4 linked regions of the Arabidopsis thaliana genome follow. The protein of the gene in region 3 interacts with the protein of the main gene of each other region in a pairwise test. Each region holds a gene or a part of one and is shown on either strand. Other genes may lie near its edges. The genes, in order: AT1G29240, AT4G18630, ckl10 and AT2G27770.

Region 1 (6,889 bases), on a different chromosome or scaffold from region 3:
TCGGATTACAATACCCGAGATCATGAAGAACAGATGGTTCAAGAAAGGATTCAAACATGTTAAATTCTACATCGAAGATGATAAACTGTGTAGGGAAGATGAAGATGAGGAGGAAGAGGCATCATCATCAGGCCGCTCTTCGACAGTTTCAGAGAGCGATGCAGAGTTCGATGTAAAACGGATGGGAATAGGTTCAATGCCAAGACCCTCGAGCTTAAACGCGTTTGACATTATATCTTTCTCTTCAGGGTTTGATCTGTCTGGTTTGTTTGAGGAAGAAGGAGGAGAAGGGACGAGGTTTGTGTCAGGTGCTCCTGTTTCAAAGATCATATCGAAGCTGGAAGAGATTGCGAAAATCGTGAGCTTTACTGTGAGGAAGAAAGAATGGAGTTTGAGATTAGAAGGTTGTAGAGAAGGAGCAAAAGGACCGTTGACAATTGCGGCTGAGATATTTGAGCTGACTCCATCTCTAGTGGTGGTGGAGGTGAAGAAGAAAGGAGGAGACAGAGAAGAGTATGAAGAGTTTTGCAACAAGGAACTCAGACCAGAGCTGGAGAAACTAATCCATGAAGAAGTTGTAGTAGAAGAAGCATTGTATTTGCCATCTGATACTGAATAGTATAAAACAAGGAAGGCTGATAACAAGAATATACAAGAAACAAGATTGTGTTACATTCTTTTGTTACTATTGATTATTTATTCGTTATTCTTGTTCTATGTTAATGTTGATGTTGGTGTAAAACTGAGAGATTTCGGAGATCTTCACGATTTGTTGTGATCTCCGAAATCTCCCAGTGTGTGTTTATGTATATAAGTGGTATTGTAATGTGAGTGATAGGAAGATGAGGGAAGAAAATAAGCAAAAGAGGGTGAGAGATCAGGCAATTTAGTCGATTTTTTCTGGTCACAGAGCCAGTTTTTTGGTGGATTGCTCATATATAGTTTGTATATATATGTAAAACAAGAGACGAGCTTAATGGAAATTCTTACTCTGCCTTCCTTTAGTTCACTGTTTTCTTCATCCTAAGTCTTACTAGTATTTGCCTCATTAATTAGAGTTAATATTGAAGCTGCACATGTAAATGAGGTTCATAAAACAAGCACATATTTTCTTTTCACCAGTGGATGAAATGACTACCAAATAACTAATGATTGAGCTGAAACGTAGGTATAAACCTGATGATCTCGGGGAGGTCAGAACTCGAGAAGCATCAAGGTCTCAAGTTTTGGATTGATGAGATGTATGAGCAACCAGTTCCTGCACAAAATTGAAGTAAGTAAATACCAAAGATGGCTAGCTGATTCTTGCTTAAAGCACTGTATATGTGAAAATGAGAGATGCTTACTTCGGAATATCGGATATGATCTCTGTGCATGTAGGAAGTCTTAACAATAGTTTCCCACTTGGTACCATTTCTGTAGTTTTCTGTAAGATCCTGCTTTTGGGGGTTGAATGGATGATATCTACGTGAAGTGATCTGAGAAGTTACTGAAGGCAGATTATGACAAAGCCAAGATTCAGAAGGCCTTTTGGGAGAAGGTGGTGCAAGAGGAGACCGATCAAAACCACTACTGATCTCTACTAACTCATTTCCCTTCACCATTTCACTACTTCTAATACTTATATTTTCAAAAGCTTCAAGTTCAGGATTGGCATCTGGTTTCCTTCCTGTCATATCTGCTTCCTCTGGAAAGATCATGAGATTTGAGTTATGCTGATCATTGGTCATGTGATCATTCTCGGTGTCGACATAAACTGTCTTCTCCAAGATTGAACCATTGCTTTTTGGGTAGAGTAACTCCTGAGACGTCCTGCTTATGTTTCTAGTATGATTGCTCAACCTGTTAGCTCTCAGGTTCTCGGTTTCCCTACGAGTCTCAGGGAAACCCGCATGGTGTAAAGGAGAACCGTTACCTGTACTGCGAAATGGTGACATACAGCGAGAGTGTCTGTAAGGAGATGAAGACCTCTTCGCAGCAGAAATCAAGTTTGATTCAGAGTTGAACTTCTTCCCATTGCTTGGATGAACTGGTGAATGAACTTTACCACTCAACTTGTGCTTAGAAACTGAATCAAGAGCTAGCTGGAAAATGTACAAGAGCTACTAGTCAGTGAGTGTCTAATCATATTTATAAGGGACTAATAGGAGTCTAAAGGTGGAACCTTTTTAACAGATTGGAATCGATATTTGAGTTGAGCAACCTTGCTTGACTTCACTTGATCATGACTTGGTGATGTTATTGGAGAGTTGTGTTTAGCTTTAAAACCAGGCACTGTGTTCAGCATGCCGAGAGAGTCTTTAAAGCACAATTGTGGCAACATTCCACAACCTCTCTTTGAAAGATAGGCGTACTCAGAAACTTCATCATCTTCCTCACCCACCTTGCTTTCTTCATCATCAATGTCTTGGTGGTAATAGTAAGATGGGACTATAGACACATCATATCTATTAGGAGTTTGCTGCTTCTCCCCCGGTACTAACTCTCTTATCTGTATCGTTGGTTCAGCCATAAAAGTGGATGGTTTTCGATTCGAAGCATAATGAGACTGCTCCACAGTCATAGCTTTGGCAGCTGGTAAAAAACGACTCATCATGAAATCCCGAGATTGAGCATCCAGTGGTTTCTTGGTCTCAACGCCACCATATTCACTCACACCACTAATGCTATTGTTAAAAGAAAACGAGTCCTTTGGAGAGAGAGTGTCAAGAGCATCAGAAAACACATCATCTTCATCATCATCTGATTCTTCAACTTGTTTACCCTTTGAACTCTGCAATCTTGTCATGTTTGCATCAACGGCTTTACCCGGTGGAAGACATGGTGTAAAAACTTGTTCTTCTTCTTTCATCAAAACACAAACTTGGGGTTTGAAATCATTGCCCTTTAATCTTCCAGGAGCTTGTTCCCAAGTGAAAGGAACAGAGGCAGGTTCAGTAACCTCATCATCTAAACCCATCATATATGGAACAAGAACTGGAACAGAAGGACATTCACTTGTCTTAGAGTCATAATCAGTGAAGTTATTACTCTTGTTTCTACGCACAGAGACTCCTGCTGTCTTCTGCATCCGTCTTGTTGAAAGAAGAGGTACGCTGAAGTTCAGTTTCCTCTCCTCCATAGTAAGAGAGCTAGCTAGTTTAGTTCTTAGGATATGGCTCACAGACCAATGAAACCATATATGGATATATATTGAAGTTCTCTAGAACAGATCTGAAACAAAACAAAACAACAGATTTTTCAGTAATCTTGAATATTATCCATATAAAAACCATATAATAATCATATAGTAGATGATCTCTTTCTCTATGTATAAAGGATTATTATCTGAATTCTGAAGTAAGTAGGTAGATACAGACAAAAAGAAAAGATCTCTCTGTGAACTTTTTTACTACTAGAAACTTCAATTTTAATAATAATATTTAACGCAACACCAACACCGCTTAAAAGTTATGAAATCTAGTGACGGTGTCAAAATTTTCAGACCCGTGACATCAATCATTACAAGGATTTGCGCAATTGAGTACCAGAAACCCCACATATAGAAGACTGTGACGATGTCATAATCGTTATAACTAAGTAGAGTAGAGAATAATGATAACAAATCTCAAGAAATGAAGAACTAAGTGCAAGATTTAGATGCAGAACTGAGGATAATGTACGGAGAAAGTAACGCTCACGAAAAATTCTAATCGATAGTCAACTAAAATAACCTCGTCGACATGCTTAATTCATTCTACAGTAGAAATTTCAAGAAAAAAAATAAGCGAAACTAGGAGAGTCGTTTTAGAGCTACAAGGATTGAGATCAGTACGTTACCGGAAAGTGAAGCCACAAATCGGAAAGTGCGAAATTGAACCGTTGGAGCCGCTTGAAACTTGGAAAAGGCTTGAGAGTTAAGGAGGAGACTAAAAAAGACTTGAGTAAACGTAACAGAGAGAGAAGCTAAGCGTTTTTGGAGGATGTGCCGTGAAGATGACGGAGACGAAGATGGGACTTGGAGAAGAAAAAGGTAAGCTGAAAGTAGTCACGAGCTGATTGGTACATTTGGACTCTTCTTCCTCTTTACTTGTATTTACGCTTTCTCTCATTTATTTTCTCTTCTATTGGTCAATGATCAACATGAATAGTGTATTTGACAACATTTAACCGAAGTACCGAACCAAACCAAATTCGGTTGTAAAATCAAACAAATATTGGACGTGATTACTGATTAGTATAATCTTGTACCACTCACAAAATTGATAGCAAAAACGATGCAAAGAGCAATATTCTTATTATTTGTTTTGGTGTTGCGCTCTCTATTCGTTATTTATTTATTTTGTACTGCTTTTAACTACAGTTTTGTTCGTTCGTCACCGATTGATCGTTTACAATTACAAAAGAATATACACAGTTGATTTTTTGGTGGCATATCTAGAATCCATAGATCTATGCGTTACTTATAAAGTTTATATAAGCTGACCACGACTGAGTATGGTAGCGTGATTGTTAAATAACTAAACAATTATGAGATACCTTTTCACTTTTCACTTGCATTTTTGTGGAATATCATCATTTTAGGTGTGGGCCGATTAGAGAATGACAACATTTTGATAGGGGAAAGCAAAAAAAATTGGCGCAACCAACTCAATCTATCATTTTCAAACCTTTTATTTTATAATAACTCCAGAATGGATAAATAAATACACACAAATACCAACTTAGCTCACATATTATTTCAATCAATAATTATGCTGTTATTATACCAGGAGTTTTCTTTGTCTTCATATCTTCTGAAAGTTTGGATTTTGTTTACACTGAAGTTATGTTATAAGTATGACATACTAAAGTATGCTTACATACATAATGCAAAATATGTATATAATTTTTCTTTTATGATATATAAAAATATTTAATTCATATAAACAGAACCATAATTATCATCTTTACAAAAAACTCACCTAACCAGTGAATATTCCATTATACAAAAGAGAGATTAGTAAATTCAATTTGTTTTTGTGTGTTTACTAATTAAAAGGGATTAAACGGTTGGCTAACGAACACTCTTGTCAGCAGGCTGCTTTCCAACACCGTTGCGGGGTTGCCCTCATAAACGTATTTGCATGCTAACAGTGCCAAATGCCAATTATTGTTTTTTAATTTTTGACCAACTATTGATTTCATTTATTTATTACTAATTGTTAAAAATCAAAATAAAATTAGTTAGGCAACACTAGACTTACAAATTCTTTGGAAATGCTTGTCGGTGGCTTGTGAGGAAGAGTTGTGTTGCTATTATGGAGTCCTTTTACATGTTCTCTCATTAGCTTATCTTTTAGGAGCTTTTCCTCCTTATGTTTGTTTGCCCTTTAATTTGGGTCTTAGTCTTTGGAGGTTTCTATGTACCCATCAATGTTGTCTCCGAAAAGATCTTGTTCTTGTCTGTTTTGTATATCTCTACCGCAGCTAATGAATGAAATCTTTAGACGGAAAAAAATAACACTAGACAAGATGAAATTAGGTTGATGAAATTTAGTTTCTAGAAATTTAGTAACAATTTTTTCTTCTCTCTTTTTTCCTCACTTAACCCTCTAACATAATCAATTAATCATGTATGTTGGTAATTTGTTTTACACGCTATATCTTATAGAATATCGTCGATAAAATTATGTACGACATGTTTTAACTTATAACATCTTCATGAGAGGAGGACCAGGAGGTAAGTCTTGACTCTTGATTCTTGCGAAAATAAAGAACAAAATGTTGGGTGATTGTTATTTTTTCGGGATAATGATGAATATTAGATAAGTCACGCTTACATCGACAAAAATTATATGGATGGACTACATTTGTGGTTAGTTGTTTATAAATCAATTTACCGAACATGAAACTATATTTTTACATGGTGTTGTAATAATGTTAACACGTTCGCATTACCCGGACGGAAAGGTGGTGTTGAACGGTGATGGTAATAAAAAGATTGTATTAGAGTGTATATACTTCGTTTAGTTATGGTTTAGTTTGGTTAGTAATTATGGTTTAGTTTATTTTGTATCTATATATATATTTTTGCAACACTTTTATGAAATAAATCTTCAAGTTGGGATTTATTTACAACCCAATGCCATTGGCATTTAATATTTAACAATTTTATTTTCAAATCTAAATATAAACTAATTTTGTTACTAAAATTTAGGAAACTAAAATAAATATATCACAACAATTATTTAAATCTTTCCAAATCTAAACTAAAATATACTACTCACTAATATTCCTATTTAAGAGGATCAATTAGCATTAACGGTATATTATTATTGATATATATGAACTTTATAAAACATTAATAATATTTATCCTTATAAAAAAATATTAAAATATCATAAAACGAGTTATATAACGGGACGGATTTGGATTGATATAACACGAGTTAAATCTTTATTTATTATTTTATCATCACCAAATTTTTTATTTACAATATTATATAAAATTATATAACTTTAATACTAAATTTAAACCATAAAATTTAATATTATTATATATATGAATTAAACATTTTTCCTGTGGTGTACCACGGGTTAAATCCTAGTTTAAGCTTAATCATGTATCTCATTTACGTTTAATGAAGGTTTCACTATGGTTGATAGATTGTGTTGGTGTGTTGGTCAACAAATTCCAGCACAAAATAGTTGTGTTAGAGGAGAAAAGAGATTGATAAATATGTAGAGGACATGAAGATAAAGGGTGAGAGTGATATTTTGATCTTGAAAAAAATAATTATGGAGTAACTGATAAGTGATCATGGACAAAAATGAAATTAAGAGAATGATTTTCCATTCATTTAATTTGTTTAGATAACTTCATCTTCTTCTTTTTCTTCATTCTCTTAATTTCAACTTTGTCCATTATC
Region 2 (5,629 bases), on a different chromosome or scaffold from region 3:
TGGGATCTAACAGCTTCTTGTGGATCTCTTGATACCTGAAGAAAATGCAATAAAAATAACAATAATTACCAAAGGGGATACCGTTTCGAAGAAGCAACGTATATATACCTAAAAAAAACATTATGTTGTTCTCTTTAAAATGAGGAACATTGCAAATTACGTAAAGGAACCAAACAAATGATAGGTAATGATAAAACTTACTGTATAAAGGAATTCCTTATAATGCAAACAATGTATTATTATGTTTCTGGATGAAACCAGCAAGCGGGTAGGGCAAGCAAGAGAATGTTGGTGAGAGGATTTAGAAATCAAAATATCCCTAGAAATCGATCTTGATTATATTTTTGAAAATCGATTTCTCGTTAGTTTTTGCAGGATGATGATGATGATCTCAGAGTTGTCTCTCTTCGACCATCTTTGGTCTCTCCAGGGCCAAAGGGTGGTGCCTTCTCTCTCCTCCCTCTTCCCTTTGTCTTCCCTCTTCTCTCTCTTTGCACAATTTGTTTTCTTTTTTTAATTATTTCGAAAATTTTCCAATTTCACAACCCCTAATTTTCTTGTAGTTTACTTTTGGTTTCTATTTTTTTTTTTTAATAATTATACGTGCTTAACTATACTACACTAAGCCACGTCACCATAAGTATTTTAAAACACAAAATGAACGATTTATGTATTTTTAATTTTAGTATCCAAATCTATTCTCACTCTCTAATTTTGTTATTTTAAAATCGAATTCAACAACAAGACTCATGGGGCATGGGGGACGTGCCTGCCTCTTATACTTTACTAGTGCGTAATAAAATAGTGAATCTTTGTGACCGTTGGATATCGGTAATCCAACGGTTTTCATATCGTTTGTGTATAATGAGCACTACCACACATGACATGGGGTTTTGAATTAATGTGCATGAACATCATCAGTCATCACCCGTAATTTGACAAAAGCAAAAAAAAAAGAGCATCATCGCTAGTAACATGTCTCCCATTACTTTCTTAAAATATTTTATTCCGTCATGATCAAATGTCAATTGCAGCTGATATTATAAGAAAAAGAAGTCAATCAAAATCTTATATTATATGTGTGTCTTAGACAAAGATAGCTCTAATTTCAATTATGATGATATGATCATATATGATTATTTAAGAAACTTCATCGGTTTATCGAATCGACACTATGAATCAGCCTGGTTATGTTGTATAATTGTGCCGGTCTAAACCGGCTAAGTCAGAACTGGTTAGGCACGGAATCCATATTGTATCTAACATCAATAACATGAGGTCTTCCAATTACAAATAATGCGGTCGGAAAACAAACGCCACAATTATAACACACACAAAAATATTGAAACATAAAGAATCAATCTCGGGTACATTTGTGTTGCCTACAAGAAAAATAAGAGGCAAACCTTAAAACTATTTATTAACTTAATTGTAATGTAAAAACAAGAAGTAATTTGTCTGGTTTTATGTATTTTGCTGGCGAGATGGATAAACAATCAGCTCCTGCATAGAAGAATGTCACAAAGAGAAGATATATAAATTAAAATGTTCAATAATACAACGTATTTTTAAAAGAATTCGATTTGTTAGAACCAAAAATGTTCAAAGAGTAATTAATACCTGAGAATAACGAGCGTGATCGTTGTGAACATACGATGTTTTAACGATCGTTTCCCATTTCGTAGATTCAAGAACTTCTTGATTCAGTTTCTTGATACCAACTTGACCTAAAACGACGCCGTACGGTCTCGGGTTCACCGGCGGTAGGAGGGTTCGTCCGAGCCAGGAACGAGACGGAGTTTCCGGTAACGGAGGAGGAGAAAGCGCAGGTGTATATTCCGACGATGTTTGTTGAAGATTCCCTGACTTGTTGTTCCTTCTTCTGTTTACTTCCTCAACAAGAAACCTAGAATCGTGAATTGTGGTCCGTTGGATCCTCGAAGGAGTAGAGATCGAGTTTCTAAACATTTTGATCTCTCCAGAATTTGAGTAATTAGGAAGAACCTCTCTTCTTGTTCTTGTTGGATACAGTTCTTGAGACTTGCTTATTCCTCTGTTTAGCCTTTTGAAGCTCTCTGGTTTCTCGGGAGTTCCGAGAAAACCGGAATCCGAACAAGAGGTTCGGTACGGAGAGATAAAACCGGAAAGACGCCTAGTTGACCAGTTTGGTAAACTGGTTTGATCACCCGAATGTTTCATAGACCGGTTTGATACTGAATCCAAAGGAACCGGGTTTAGAAACTTGAATGAGTTCTTCGCACAAAGCCTTGGCAAGAATCCGCAAGCTTTCTTGGTAACTTCAGCTGGGTAGATCTTGTGATCAACATGACCATAATCATCACCATCATCATCATTCTCGTCGTCTTCAGTATCATCATCAATGTTTAAGTCATCGTAAAGACTCTGAACAATGGCGAAATGTTCATGTTCTGCAACCAGTTGACTTCTTTGACGAGCTACGAGAGCTTCTCTGTTCTGAGTGATTAGCTTCTGCTCTGAAGAGTTATAAGAAGATTGATGTTTCTGATGTGTCTGAAGAGCCATTGCTTTAGCAGCTGGTAAGAATCTTGACATCATTAGATCAAGACTTTCTCTAGACTTCTCATCACAATCAGATCTCTCACCGGTCTTCTCGATTTCGCTAACTCCACTTGTGCTGCAGTTAACAGAGAAGCTTACATTTGAAGAAACCGTATCCAAATCTTCATCTACTTCGTCTTCTTCTTCATCATCGGTTTCTAGTAGACCTGACTCTTGAATCAATGTAGCCATGTCATCTTTTGGTTTTCCAGGGATTTGTTCCCACATAAAAGGAATTGAAGCTGGTTCTGTGAGATGATCAAAGCTCTGGTCTGGTAATACAAAAACCGGCGTTTCTTGTTTTGTGCTCGGACATGATCGAAGCTCTGGTCTTGTAATCGTCGTCTTCTTATTCTCTAACTCACTTGAACGCTCTATCATAGACGGAATTCGCCTGATTGATGGTAATGGAGCATACAAATTCAATTTCTTTCCCTCCATTCTTGAAAACAAAAAGAAGGAAGAATAACAAACAGAGTCTTTGTTTTGTGTATCTCTTCTCTTGCTATGTGTTTGAGATTGTAGTTGTTCTTATTAAAGTAAGAAAATCGGAAAAATAAGAATAGAGTTAATGTATTAATATATGTGTGTAAATGATTGCCGAATGTCTAGGACCGAGATTGAAGGCTGGAGTTTAGGAAAATAGCAGATGAATCTATTATAAGTGTGCGACTAAAGAATTGTCAATAAAGAGACTTTCTCTTTAACCTTGTGTTTGGTTGTTTTCATTTCTTATATAAGTTATAATTGAGCTTAGAATAAATCCCATCCCCCACAAAGATTTGATTGAAAATTAATGATGAGATATTGAGATCAACTACTTTTCTTTTTGTTGGAAATTTTATGTATTGTGAATACATAACGATGTCGTTAGACATCGGAGTACAAGAAGATCAGAGACACAAATTTGGCCCTAATAAGGTGAAATATTCCTCAAGGCAAAACGTGAGGAGTAGTTGTGGTTCAAGTTTCAACTGTATTTTTTTTTTCTCTAAAAGTAATGAAACAAACAAAATAAAAGAAAAAGTGAGAAAAGACATTTATGTGAGCCAAATTACCGACTTTGGTAATGTAACACATGTTGTTGTGTCCTTTTCCGAGCCACGCAACGTCGTTTATAATGTAAGCACTAATTTTCTTTTCTCCGAATGCACCACTAATTGTTTACTTTGTTTAAAGTCTTTGAAAGAAAAGTCGCGGCATTCGCCTCGACGGATGATGGGGCTCGATTACGATATATAATTTAATTACTTTGAATTACTCATAACATTCCAAAAAATTGACTTATAATTTGCTAAAACAACCGGCCTTAGATATTGACTATAAATTAACATTTCACTTCTAGATTACATAGTGTATAGTATATTACTTTTAGATTATGTAATTGTTTTCTAGGTAGTATAGTAATCGTTTTAAGAGGAAAAAACATTACTCGGCCACCTCTTTCCGTCTCCAATATTCAAAACTTTGATTTTTAATTGCTAAACAAACAAAAAAAGAATGAAGAATAATAGTATGAAAAATGAGAGAAAAACTAATAGAAATGGTATTTGAAGAAATTTCTTTTAATCATAACTTAACTATCTGTTTGTCGTTACTTATGTTTTGGTAGGTACTACATTTATTAATAACCAATTCTTCAAAAGTGTCTATAAATAAATTAACGACTGGTCAAGCGAACATTTATTCTAATCTATCTAATACAAAAAGAGGAGGAGAAACCCATGAAAATTTGTAAAGTAGACAATAACTTGAGAAATATACACCTGAGAAAAAAATCGATTTACTGAAAGAAAGTGAAATAAGTTTCGTTGACCAAAATCCCTAAAATTGCGGGAATGAAAAGGACAAGGGAATAAGTATCCTTCACGTGGCAACCACTCACACTCCCCCACCAACACCCAAGCTTTGAAATAGCAAGCCCCACCAACACCCAAGCTTTGAAATAGCAAGGCCCAATAGTCCATTCATAAAGGCCCAATTCCCGAAAAAACATGAAAATTTCCAATCTTCACCGTTATATTTAGATCAATAGAACCTCTATTTTGTCTTTCACCAACTTGTTCAAAATAAATTATATCTGTTGATTCGGTCGGTTTTTGATAAAAACACACCAAAGTATTATAGAGTAAACCACTCCATTAGTTCAACAGCTCAATGATTCAACGGACATCATAAATTCATAACCTCCGAACAGATTTGAGTCAAACGGCCATGAAATTCACGAGATCTACAGTTTAGGTCATCATACTTTCTGTTCTGAGTGTAAAATACCTTCCAACCTAATAATATTATACTAAAGTATTGATATTAATTAGTTTAGAACTTCAAATTAAGAATCTTACATGATGCCCTTTTACTATGCATTATGCAAAATGGACAAAGAATTATCAAGAAAATTTTCAAACATGTATTTAGTCTAACTTTTGTTGTCAGCAATACAAATCAGTATATTTAGTAACTAAACCAACTGAGTCAACAATTTAAAACCATTATTTCAAAGATTCCTAATTGTAAAAATGTAGAAATAACCTTCATTTTATTTCTCTTCATAAAAGAGTAGGAGAAAAGAGACAATTACAATCACGGAAGAAAGAAACCACACGAGCATATTATTCCGATTCTTTATATTTTTATTATTATTATTGCAATGCTAAAAGCCTTAAAGATTAAAAACTAATCCATAACGATCCATTTTTTTCTTAATCCAATGATTCATAACTATAACTACGATTAGTTTATTGATTAGCTTAAACATATAGAGCTTACTTCATCATTTTCTTTGTGAGCTTAGCAAGTGAAGTAAGGTTATACCGAATAATGTTATCAACAAAAAATATTGTATCTTCCTCGCTAGTTCCTTCCGGCACATCCACCACGTAACTCTCCACCACCACCGTCTTCTTTGCCATATCCTCCGGCGACGCGACCACCTTCGTTTTCGATTTGTAATTAACAAGCCTATGGTTACCGCCAATAATACTTACCACCATCACGTGAGACTCATCATCTAGCTCTTCGAGCCTCTCCGTGCTGAAATCCGCCGGGA
Region 3 (6,883 bases):
TTTGGTTGGTGTTGAATTGGAGGTTTTCAAGGAAGAGAAGGAGTTAGATAGAGAATTAGGAGAAGGAGAAAATGTGGTGGAGTTACCAAAGCCATTGATTTGGGAAGTGATTTTGAGAGCTTTAAGACGAGCTTCTCTTAATTCTTCTTTCCCTAATAGAAGTGTTTGAATTTGATCTGCCTTTTTTTGAACTTGAGCTCCCCAATCAAACCTATAATGCGAACATAAATTGAAGCATGATAGCAATAACAAGAAAAATATGAAAACAAATTTTTTTTTGGAGATTTGGGAATAATAGTTTACCCATTATTGTCAACGTATTGGAAAGTGGAGAGGAATCGAAAATGATCCAAATCATAAAGAAAATCATGAGGTAAATGAATAGGTCCATGCATTAGTAAGAACTCCAACAACACCATTGCCTTGTACGCTTCTCTCCAATTCTTTATCTCTCTTTCATCTTTCCCAATCCTGTTTTTCATAATCATCATCTTAAGCTATCCCTTAATCATAATAATAATCTTCAAGAGAAACAAAACTAATTCATACTTTCTATGAAGAACATCCACAATTCTCCAATACTCCACGGTATCAAACGATGCCTCGGCTATTTTCGTCATCGTTTTAGCGTCTGGTGAAGAAGGATCACCATTTGTTACTTCTTCTACTAACCTAAGAATGAAAGAGTTAAATTTAACCATCACTAATGGAGTATTATCAATTAGCTAATTAATGAAGTTAATAGTCTACTCACAACTCAGCTTCGGTAACATCGGTGAGGACAAGTCTAGCAACATTGTACTTGTCTTGAATAAACGAAGAGGCTTGTTTCTTGAAATCTCCAAACCAAAGTGTCCCCATCATCAATTTTTCGAAATTGGATGGTCTATTCTGTCTCCACAATTCAACTTAAATGATAGCTTCAGACCAAACATGGGTAACCCTTATTTTTAGATTCAGACACTTCAGGAGACACTTGACGTCTATTAATAGATTTCAAGCATTTGACCAAATTTGAACTAATATAAACAAAGTACTTGTGTTACAAGTTACATATACCACTTTATAAAATTCTATGAAGAACTATAAACACATAAAGTGGGAGACAGTTTTACATTGTTTACACATTTTCAGATTCTTCCAAACTCCGATCCGCAAGCTTTCTTGAGTGACTCATTTCCGCTTTCCGGAACCGATAGTAAGCATATCGAAGCTTCTCAGGCCGTCATCACGCCCAAGCCTTGCAGATAACTTAGTTTCTTGCACCGGTTGAATCTTTTGGGCACTGCTTGAAAAAAGTTTACTTGAGCGGTTCTCACTCAGCTCACCTGATGAGCCAGGTTGGCTGCTAGACATCACTGCCATCTTTGTAGCAATCTCATTTCGGGTTTTTTCAGACACTTGCTGTGCATTGCAACAAACATCAAAATGATTCTCATGATTGATACCAACCGGAAAACTTTAAAGTCATCTACACAACAGAAAGATAGCAAACAGAAAACTAACCACTTCTTTGGAAGCATCATCAGAAAAAATGTGCTTCGGGCGAATGCCATGACTCGGTACATTTCGTCTAGCGAATGCTTCAACTGCACCTGAGAATCTTTCTCGTAGATCCTGCCCCACTACACAAAAATAGGAAATCAACTTCTGAGTTTATACTTCAACCATTTCAGCGTAAGATATGTCTACTATCTGCAGGATGTAAAATAATGTTATACCTATAGGCTTTTCATTTCGTTCTGCAGATGGTCCTGGAGGGTCTAGAGCTGGTTTAGGATTTGGCTGATAGAAATGAGACACAATATAATACAAACATGAGATTTTCAGAGTATTTTACGGTTTCTAAAAGTTTCTTCATCATCATATGTTGATGCAAAAAAAAAACACTAACCCTTGGTTTTGAAATAGAGCCACTCTGAGGATATTTCAAGATTGTCCAATCAAACACATAGTCAAACTGATAACCTGAAGGCATTAACAATTGATGTAATTCATGAGCGGTTTAATAGAGAGGTGAAGGAGACAGTCAGACAGAATACAGTAGAGGTTTCTAACCTTCCCGAATAAAAAGGTCCCTGAAAAGTCTTTTCAGATATGAATAATCTGGTTTATCCTCAAACCTCAATGAACGGCAGTAATGGAAATATGATGTGAACTCGGATGGATATGACTTGCAAAGAACCTGCAAACAGCAAAATCATATTTATCGAAAAGTTTAAGAAAAGCTAAACATCGTCTTTTCGCAATACAAAAACACTATTGTAGATATATGACGTACCTCTACGGGAGTAAGCATCTTCTTTTCACTTATCTTCTCGTATTTCTGTTTCTTAGTACCAGCTTTTAGACCTTGCCATGGTAAACTGAGACAAGAAGTTGTATTCCGTCTCAAGTTTAAGGATCTCATGTTTCTTAAAGATTTCACTATTAATACACAACCAAGATAGTTTCCTACCTTCCTCGTATAAAATACATCAGAACATAACCAAGAGACTCCAGATCATCTCGTCTACTTTGCTCTGCAAGAAGATATAAGAAATGTTTCAAAAGAAGGAAAATAGTAGCTTAACGGTTACTGCACAAATATAGAATGAAAGCTATTCTAATGTGTGACATGGAAACATTTCTCACCAATGCCAAGGTGTGTGTTGACACTTGCATACCTAGCAGTTCCAGTCAGATTCTTATTTTCCCTATAAAAAAAGTTTCATGAAGAGTGCATATAGTAAATTACCAAGCATAAGACCTGAATACATCAATACTTGCCTACATTAGTTTCTAATGAAGCACAAACAAAATAACCAACAAGGAAGTATTCTAACCTGTAAGGTATATGCTTGTGTGTCTGAAGATCTCTATACTTTTTAGCAAGCCCATAATCAATAATGTACACCTGAGGTTGAAATCCAAAACTCGTCACACCAGACTCGATGCTAAGAACAATCATACGACATACTAAAGACGAAACTAGAAAGCCTACTTGGTTTGCTTTGCGACCGAGACCCATCAAAAAGTTATCCGGTTTAATATCACGGTGAAGAAATCCTCGAGAGTGCATGTACTCAACTCTGTTTATCTAAAGTAATACTCAAAAGAGCTAAAACATTAGCAATGATCCCGCAACCGAACATTAACCCGATATCAAGAACTCGAAAGAGTATGTATACTTACTAACTGATCAGCAAGCATTAGAACAGTTTTCAAAGAAAAACTCCGAGTGCAATAGTTGAACAAGTCTTCCAAGCTTGGACCAAGAAGGTCAATAGCCATACAATTGTAGTTACCCTCAACACCGAACCATTTGATATGCGGAACACCCGCTAGTCAAAAGAAAACCCAAAGAACTTAGACCAATGGAAACATAAACATCAAGTGAAATGAGCTGAGTAATGAAAAGTGAAAACTCACTCCCTCCTTGAAGAAGCATGTATACTTTTGATTCATAATGGAGCTGAGGATGCTTTGTCTTCACAGGTTCCTACCAACAAAGAAATGTATAAGAACAGATCAACAGCTATATTATAGAGAACAAAAACAAAAGAATCAATAAGATGTTCATACTCAACAAAAGCTAGTCTAAAGAAAACTAAAGAACTTAAAACTTATGACCTCAGATACAAGTATAGTGTGACAACATAGTTTCAAGATTCACTAATAGTGGAAAACTGAAAATTGAATATGTAACATACCAGCTTAAGAGCAACTTCTTCTCCAGTTTGAACATTAATCCCTTCGAATCACACATACCAAAGTGAATCAACATCAAAATTCACACTAATTACCAACAAAGAACCAAAAAAAAAAAAAAAAAAAAAAAAACTGATTGATTTTTTATATACCAATATAAAGTTCACCGAATGATCCACTACCAATCTTCCTACCTAACTTGAACTTGCCACCGATTACATGATCCATCGTTTCAATACCAATAAATACTACTTACAGAGCCAAATACGATTTATCAAACGGTTAATGACTCAATATAACATTCTCATCAATACAAAATTGTAGAACGAAGCAAACCAAACGAAAGAATTTTCTGAGGAGTTTGTATATTTCTGAGGATAAACTTGAAGAGATAGTTTGATGACCGACTAAACAAGTAGAGGAGATGAATGAGAAAACAGAGACAGATGGTTTTGACGGATGTTATTTATTTATCTCATTCTTCTTTATACACATAATAATTAATAACATTTTTTAAGTCACGGGAAAGGGAAAATAAACGGATACAGATAAAAATAATTATTGTTAAATAATATTTTAGTAATTTACTTTCCCACTCATTTTTTTTATATATCAAATTACTTTCTCACCCTATTATATATTATTCACCCAAAAACAAAAACCTTAAAAAAATTGTCACTATATTCTTAATTTTCTCTCACACTATGATCATTGGATGTTTTAGCTTCTTATCATAGTGATGCAAATTTCATTAAAAAAAAAAATCTATATTTTTACCTATTTTTTCTTTTATGTATATATTTATAAACCAAATCCACTCTATATCCACTCTCCCTTTTTTTCTGTCGAGCAAAAAAAAAAAGATATCTACTCTATTCAAAATATATTTCTAGGACTTGCTGAATTTAATATTCATGGATGGCTGCCAAAGTTTCTTGAATGTTTTTGCTTTCTTTAGAAAATTGCTAAATCATGACCATCGACGTAGAACCAAGCACAACCAAATTCAAGGAAAAGACAAGACAAAGAAAACTAAAAGCAAAGTAAGCTTTGTGTTACCGACTTCTCAAATGCCAACAATGTTTAAAACAGAGAGTTTGATGATTAGCACAACTAATCCTTTGCTTTTCTTCGCAGACTAAATTTATGGCAAGTTGCACCTTTGGAAATGTTAAGTATAGGAAAAGCAAAGCAAACAATATTGGCAAGAATAGTGAAAAAAGGATCATGGACAAACAATTGATCGAGAAATCGTAAGACAAAAAAAACAGTCCAAATATAAACGATCCAAGAAATATAATACCTATTTTATGTATACACTAAATTTCGGGGTTTTTTACCACTACGGTAAAAATATGAACTATATCACCAATTGACATTGCAATAAAAAAAAATAGCAATAATTTAGTGGTATTAAAAAAAAAAACTGACTTACAATCAAATCCATTCTGTTGGTTTTTATATATAGTGAACATATTTTATAATAGTATAACGACTAGTCGATTTTCCACTACATAGAAAATGAATGTTCATAGTGCCAAAAAGGGATCCAATGGCCATGATTTATTATGGGCAATGAATAATAATGTGAAAATTTTGTATGCATGGGTCAGCTTCTGTCTGTTGTTGTTGTATACACAACAGATCATATATATTTATGTCCAAACATTCCATATATTGTTTGTTTAATAAATACAAAAAAAAACTCATGCAAATTCCACTTTACTTTTAAAACAATACTTTATTGTTAGGTCTATTTCCACATGATTTGTTCTAATTTTTCCTAATTATAAGAAAATTATAGAGATAGAAAAATATATAAATTGGTTGAACACTACAATAAGTGTAATGAAACATATGTTCCCTATGCGACGTCGTTTCTGTCTCTGAACAAAAGATGAAGTCAAAAAAGTTTCACACTTCATTATTACCAATAATCTCCACAAGAACAGTTTCCACGGTTGAAATGGTGGAATCTGCTATTATCCCTAACGATAATCTCTCTTTCCGTGATCTTCGAGATAAACTTGATTGCGACATGACAATCCGTGCATATCCTTATATTCTTAGTGACTCTAATTGTCGTGCCAGGTTCTGTGTTGATGATACCAAAGGCAACAGCCAATCTCTCACTGTGTCCGAACAAAAGCTCTCTCTTATGCTCTTCGTCTACATCGTGAAGCACGCCGCTTGTGTCTGCAACATACCCTTCTTTCTCCATCTGTTCCATTACAGCTTTAAGAAACTCGTTGATCTTGTCCATACTCGGATGCGATCTATCTCCTGAAACAAATCCATGAGTCTTGTTTTTCATTTCGATCCAACTACAAGCTGGCTTTTTCCGCAATCCTTTCTTCCTCATACGCAATCTTAGTTTCGCCATTTCTTTCCATCTTCCATTAGACGCATACATATTGCACATCAAAACATAAGCTCCCATGTTTTCAGAATCGACAGTGAATATCTTCTCCGCTACCTTCTCAGCCAACTCAAGATTCTTGTGAACGCTGCAAGAAGACAATAAGGTAGACCAGACACTACCAGTTGGTTCAACACACATCTTTGAAATGAAATTGTATGCTTCTTCCAGCTTCCCTGCACGGCCTAGAAGATCCGCTACAGCTGCATAATGTTCTAACTCCTGGTTTAAACCGTAAACCTTAGTCATGCTGTTGAAATATCCCCATGCCTCATCTACCAACCCCACATGACTACAAGCCGTTAGTACAGCAACAAATGCCACTTGATTCGGTTTCACTCCTTGTCGTTTCATCTCCTCAAACAACGAAACTGCTTCATGCCCATGACCATGTAACGCATGCCCCATTATAATAGCCGTCCATGATACTTCATCGAGTACATTCATCCTGTCAAAAATCTTCCTAGCAGCCTTAATATTCCCACATTTCGAGTACATATCAACAAGTGCACTAGCTATGAATATGTTACTGCCAAAGCCACCCCTTAATACATATCCGTGAAGTTGTTTCCCAAGGTGCAAGGTGGCTAGGTGAGCACAAGCAGGAATCACACTTGAGAACGCCACAGCCCCTGGCTTAACCTTTGCGGTCACCATTTGCCTGAACAATCTCAGAGCCTCATTGTATCTACCATTCTGTACATACCCAGCTACAAGCGAGTTCCACGAGATACCATCCCGACAATACAAGCGAGAAAACACTCTTTCAGAGTC
Region 4 (5,143 bases), on a different chromosome or scaffold from region 3:
AAATGTTTAGGATACAATAACTAAAACTCACAAAATGGTTGTCAGTGATTAGTTTCATCATCTCGTTTCGGGATCGAAAAAATGATTTCTACTGTTTAACAAAAATAAATGATTTCTACTGAATGCTTATAAGTTATAATCATTTTGCAAGTTGATACGGTAGTATTTCGATACCAGTGTAACAGTACGGTATTAAAAGAGAAAAAGAAAAAAGAATCTGCAAATATTTTGATTGAACGAATGAATGAAATGCAAAATGTTTCACTTTACATTTTCGCTGTTTCGAGTGGTTTTAACTCTTCTTTTTTATAGTGGATATAATAGAACATATTTTGCGATCTTGGCCATTCCAAAAATCAGGCTATACATGAACATTTATATAAACATATTAGACATCTTTTATGAGTTCTTATAATGGAATTTATGCTCGACAAGAGACATCTAGTGATAATATAATTTTTCTAGGTTGGCTGGATTTTAAATATGTCCAAAGTCCACACCCAAATGTCACGACAAACAAAGCAACCGTGTTCCTTTCTATGTTTATTGGCTTAGTTTGTTTCATTATAGCTATGATAGTATTTATTTATTTTTAAAATTCTGATTATAAAATAGTACTAACGTGTTAATACGAGTTGGATTTTGCTGAGTGTTCGCATAATAGGTTAAGATTAAGAATTTCATCAAAACCGGATCGGATGCAGAACCCCATATATCACTACCAAAAAAAGAATTTTATATCATTTATTTTGAATATTTGTATTACTTATGTCATATAATATATTATCGATGCAATATATAGTTGAATATCATTTCATGGCGGGCGTCAATAGAAGAGATGGAGCTCACTTCGATAAGATAATGTATCTCAAGAATTTAAGAAGGAAAATAGTTTGGTTTGCCTCAAGTTTATTTTCTTAAATTTGTTGTCTTTAAATAATCTCTCGTTCCTTCAATTTTTAAAGCAGACGGTCTCGTTCTTTTGAAATTTTGTTCCCTCTGGATTTGGTAACCCAACTAAAAAGTTTATTCTAAAATTTTATTATTAATGTATAGGTGATAAAAGAGAAGTAATAAATTGGGCTAATTGTTTTGGCTAAAACACTTCTATATCATTTCAAGAGTTTGAATAATCAAAATTTGGAGAAAATCTAGGCCAACACAGGCAAATAAACGAAGTTCCAACATTTGGCGGTTAAGAGAATTTGTACAACCGGCTCACAATTCCTCTCTTAGATCCGATCCGATTTGTTCCGAGACCATTATATCCGGGTTTACTTCTTTTGTTTGTTAACTTCTATGAAGCTTTATTGATTTGCTTTTTTAGTCTATATGGGCACAACATGTCAGTTTATTATCCCAATGAACTCTATCGTATGAGAAGGAGACTCAATCTCAGGTGAGGTGGTATCAATTTATGAACACCAGTAGATCACAATCACAGTCACTTCTCTAGTATCTTGCTTTTAAAATGCCATTTCTACTACCAAAAAAAAAAAAACATGAACCGTATATATATATATATATAATTTCACCTTGGATCCAACCAATTCAAACCTACTTCCAAATAGATTGGATATCTGTTTTATTGGAGTGAATTGGATTAGATTTAAGATATCCCAGTTAAGCAGGTTCATGAAATAATTTAAAAGACAAAAAAAAACATAAACTTGTTCTGTAAAATTTTCTAAGAGTGTAACTCTAATTTCTTGTTATATATTTTTATATTCTTGACATATTCATATATGTAATCCTTCTGATCCAAAATTTTATTAGTAGATTCTGTATACAAACTCCTAATATATCCGATTCTTCAAAACGGATTAAGGATATTTTTAAATAAATATAAGTAAAAACATTTTATTTTTATTTTTGCAACAAGTCTATTATTGGTAGTAGTTTTAGCTGCCTGAAACTTTTTTTTTTTTTTCGTCTATAAATTGTAACTCTCGACTTGACTCCGATGTATGGAACTACAAAAGAAAAAAGAAAAACGTATTCGTAATTACTACATTACGAACCTTCCTTTAATTATATGACGGTTTCTTAAAATATGGATGGTTCAAAACAAATTCTCACTAATTATAACGATTATATTATGTCTATATTAACTGAGAGTTGCTTTGACCATCATTATATTAGAAGAATTCCTCTATCTGTAAATTCAGACATTTTTTCAATCTATATATACACTAATATTTTTCCTAAATTAGTATATGTTTATCATTTTGATCTATATAAAAATCATAAACCTTAAATTCTCTTATAGAAACTTTACAAATGTATCATAAACAATTTTAAGTTAATCAAAAAGTCATATTTGAGTAACACCAAATTTCAATTCCCTTTAGAAATTTATTAATAAAAAATAAAATATTAAAGTACAAAAACTTTTAAAATTAGTTAGCATACAACTATACAATAAAAAAAAATAAAAAAAATATCAACATCAAATTTGTGTCCCCTAGACAATGAAAGCTCAAAACTACTTAAATTCGGCTCCTTTCACCTCCACTCTCTTCTTAGCACACACACAGAGACCTTAATCCATTTCTCTCTCTCCCTCTCTCTCATTAAGAAAAAAAAAGAGAATCAGAGAAGAAATAAAAAGAAAGCAACTCAAATCTTTAACCTACAAAAACCCAGATTTGTTAACTCTCTCATTCTTCTTCTTCTTCTCAACAACATTTGATCTTTTTGATTCTCAAAGTATTCTCAAAGTAAAAGAGAAACACACTTTGTTGTCTCAACAAGCAAGCAAACAAAACCCATCTTGGGAAAATCTCATTTCTTTCCCAAGAAAATCTCATTTTTTCTGTTACAATTTTTTCCTAAGAAAATGAGAGATTTGGTGTCATGTTTCAGTGAGAACTCAATAAACGTGACACATCCCTTATCAATATCATCTTCATCATCATCATGTTCAAAATACAGTACCAACAATGTTTGTATCTCACCATCTCTCATACCATCAATACAAACCTCCATTACAAGCATCTACAGAATCACTTTATCGAAACATCTCATCATCAAAGTCACATGGTGCAATCCACACAACAACAATGGCTTAAGCATCTCTGTTGCATCCGCAGATCAAAACCCTTCAACAACTCTCAAACTCAACACTTCTTCTCGTTTCTTCCGTAAGAAGAAAGGTAACAAATCGGTTGATTCCGATCTCGGTAAAATCGAGGTTTTTTGGGATCTTTCTTCAGCTAAATATGATTCTAACTTGTGTGGTCCTGAACCTATCAATGGCTTCTACGTTATCGTCCTCGTTGATGGTCAAATGGGTCTTCTTCTTGGAGATTCATCTGAAGAAACTCTCCGTAAAAAAGGTTTCTCCGGCGATATCGGTTTCGATTTCTCTCTTGTTTCTCGACAAGAACATTTCACAGGGAACAATACTTTTTACTCGACTAAAGTAAGATTCGTTGAGACAGGAGATTCACATGAAATCGTCATCAGATGTAATAAAGAAACAGAGGGTCTAAAACAGAGCAATCATTACCCTGTTCTCTCTGTTTGTATTGATAAGAAGACGGTGATAAAAGTGAAGAGGCTTCAATGGAATTTCAGAGGGAATCAAACGATTTTCTTGGATGGATTGCTTGTGGATCTGATGTGGGATGTTCATGATTGGTTCTTTAGTAATCAAGGAGCTTGTGGAAGAGCTGTGTTCATGTTTAGGACAAGGAATGGTTTAGACAGCAGCAGGCTTTGGTTAGAAGAGAAGATTGTTAAGAAAGATCAACAAGACAAGCTTGACTTCTCTCTCTTCATTTACGCCTGTAAGACTTGAAAAACATTATAAAAAAAAAACTCAATTTTTTTTTGAGATTTACAAGAAAAAGGTTATTGATTGATTGATTCTGTTTTTAATATTTGAGATATTTTTATGGGGTTTTTTTTTTTTTTGAACTTACAATTTCTTCTTGGGAGGAGTATAGATTTTATTTTCTTTCTTACATTCTTTTTTTTTTTTGGTTGGAGTTGTGATTTAATATTGAGAGATTCCAAAAGATGTGAATTTCTTCATAGGAGTTGTTGTTTTATTTTTATTTTAAATTTGGTTTTCTTACAAATTCAAGAACATTGCCATATCTTAAATTGAAGTCATTTGTTGGGAAAATATTTGTCTCAATGACTCTCTTTCTTGGCAACATTATGATGTTTATTACTATGTAGGCTCATCTACAGATATACGTTTTTTTCTTTCATAAATGTTGAAGTAATTGATGATTATGGTTAAGGAAGAAGAATTGAAGAGTGTGAAATAAGATGAGAATATATTGGGGCATATGTGCACGCCTATAAAGATATGCATGGAGCCTCTTTAAAGTACAAAAGTTAAAAGGTCTAGAATCTACTCATGCTAATTTGTTTTTCCTATTAATCTAACAAAATTTGTGAATGAAGTAAAAATGTAAAATGCTATTTTTTCTTTTGGTTTTAGAATATCAGTATGTGAAAATTTAAGGCATAGTTTATTATGTTTTCAAGTTCCAACTCTAGTTAGGTTATTTTGGTTAGGAATGTATTAGGTGATTAACATCTCGATCATTCAAGGAACAATTTCTTCATGGTTTAGGTGACTACATTGTAAAGTACAAAGTTTTTTCTTTACATTTTTTGTTAAAATTGTTGTAAGAAAATATGTCTAGTAATGGCTAATTTTTAGTTAAGTTGGTTCGGTTAGGCGAGGTTTAGGTGGTGACATCCCATTCAAGCAAATATTTTTTCTAGATTGGTTGATTTGGAGAGTTTTAGGTGATGTAAGTAGTTCAAGCTTTAGTTTTAGAATTTGATTATAGTCAGTCCGAATTTATGTTTTCATATAAGTTTGAGTTTTGATAAATTGGAGTTAACTATTTAATACTATAGAAATTTAGGAGTATTAAAATGATCATTGCATGTAAATATCATACGATTAAGATTAACCATGCCTCTGTATTTAAAGGATATAAGTATTACTATAATACAATAGGATACAAAATAAAGATTCGGTCAACATAACATTACAATATAATTAAAATACTGCTTCGAGTCATTTAAAACTAATCCAGAATTTGAAAGGCTGACAAATTTACCATTGTTTACACATAATAGAAATTTGACTGTTAAACCCATATATAATGAACAA

Evidence for each region.
Region 1: the proteins of ckl10 (region 3) and AT1G29240 interact in a two-hybrid assay, tested with the Arabidopsis thaliana proteins (one large-scale study listed by BioGRID).
Region 2: the proteins of ckl10 (region 3) and AT4G18630 interact in a two-hybrid assay, tested with the Arabidopsis thaliana proteins (one large-scale study listed by BioGRID).
Region 4: the proteins of ckl10 (region 3) and AT2G27770 interact in a two-hybrid assay, tested with the Arabidopsis thaliana proteins (one large-scale study listed by BioGRID).

Annotation. Positions count from the first base shown.
Region 1 is NC_003070.9:10,215,804-10,222,692, forward strand, and holds AT1G29240 (transcription initiation factor TFIID subunit, putative (DUF688)), read right to left. Parts: upstream 4,140-6,889; 5' UTR 3,820-4,139; intron 3,214-3,819; 5' UTR 3,122-3,213; coding exon 2,165-3,121; intron 2,085-2,164; coding exon 1,347-2,084; intron 1,259-1,346; coding exon 1,220-1,258; 3' UTR 976-1,219; downstream 1-975. Other genes in the region: CIPK18 (CBL-interacting protein kinase 18), read left to right, coding at 1-619.
Region 2 is NC_003075.7:10,254,570-10,260,198, reverse strand, and holds AT4G18630 (hypothetical protein (DUF688)), read right to left. Parts: upstream 3,423-5,629; 5' UTR 3,022-3,422; coding exon 1,621-3,021; intron 1,504-1,620; coding exon 1,465-1,503; 3' UTR 1,242-1,464; downstream 1-1,241. Other genes in the region: PYL13 (PYR1-like 13), read right to left, coding at 5,346-5,629.
Region 3 is NC_003074.8:8,348,082-8,354,964, reverse strand, and holds ckl10 (casein kinase I-like 10), read right to left. Parts: upstream 4,163-6,883; 5' UTR 3,919-4,162; coding exon 3,843-3,918; intron 3,734-3,842; coding exon 3,693-3,733; intron 3,482-3,692; coding exon 3,412-3,481; intron 3,324-3,411; coding exon 3,175-3,323; intron 3,080-3,174; coding exon 2,984-3,079; intron 2,897-2,983; coding exon 2,826-2,896; intron 2,697-2,825; coding exon 2,635-2,696; intron 2,523-2,634; coding exon 2,459-2,522; intron 2,367-2,458; coding exon 2,282-2,366; intron 2,186-2,281; coding exon 2,059-2,185; intron 1,969-2,058; coding exon 1,895-1,968; intron 1,786-1,894; coding exon 1,722-1,785; intron 1,626-1,721; coding exon 1,507-1,625; intron 1,405-1,506; coding exon 1,174-1,404; 3' UTR 944-1,173; downstream 1-943. Other genes in the region: AT3G23350 (ENTH/VHS family protein), read right to left, coding at 1-211, 304-471, 550-672, 755-864; AT3G23330 (Tetratricopeptide repeat (TPR)-like superfamily protein), read right to left, coding at 5,618-6,883. UniProt on the Arabidopsis thaliana protein: Casein kinases are operationally defined by their preferential utilization of acidic proteins such as caseins as substrates. It can phosphorylate a large number of proteins.
Region 4 is NC_003071.7:11,831,748-11,836,890, reverse strand, and holds AT2G27770 (DUF868 family protein (DUF868)), read left to right. Parts: upstream 1-2,463; 5' UTR 2,464-2,839; coding exon 2,840-3,802; 3' UTR 3,803-4,348; downstream 4,349-5,143.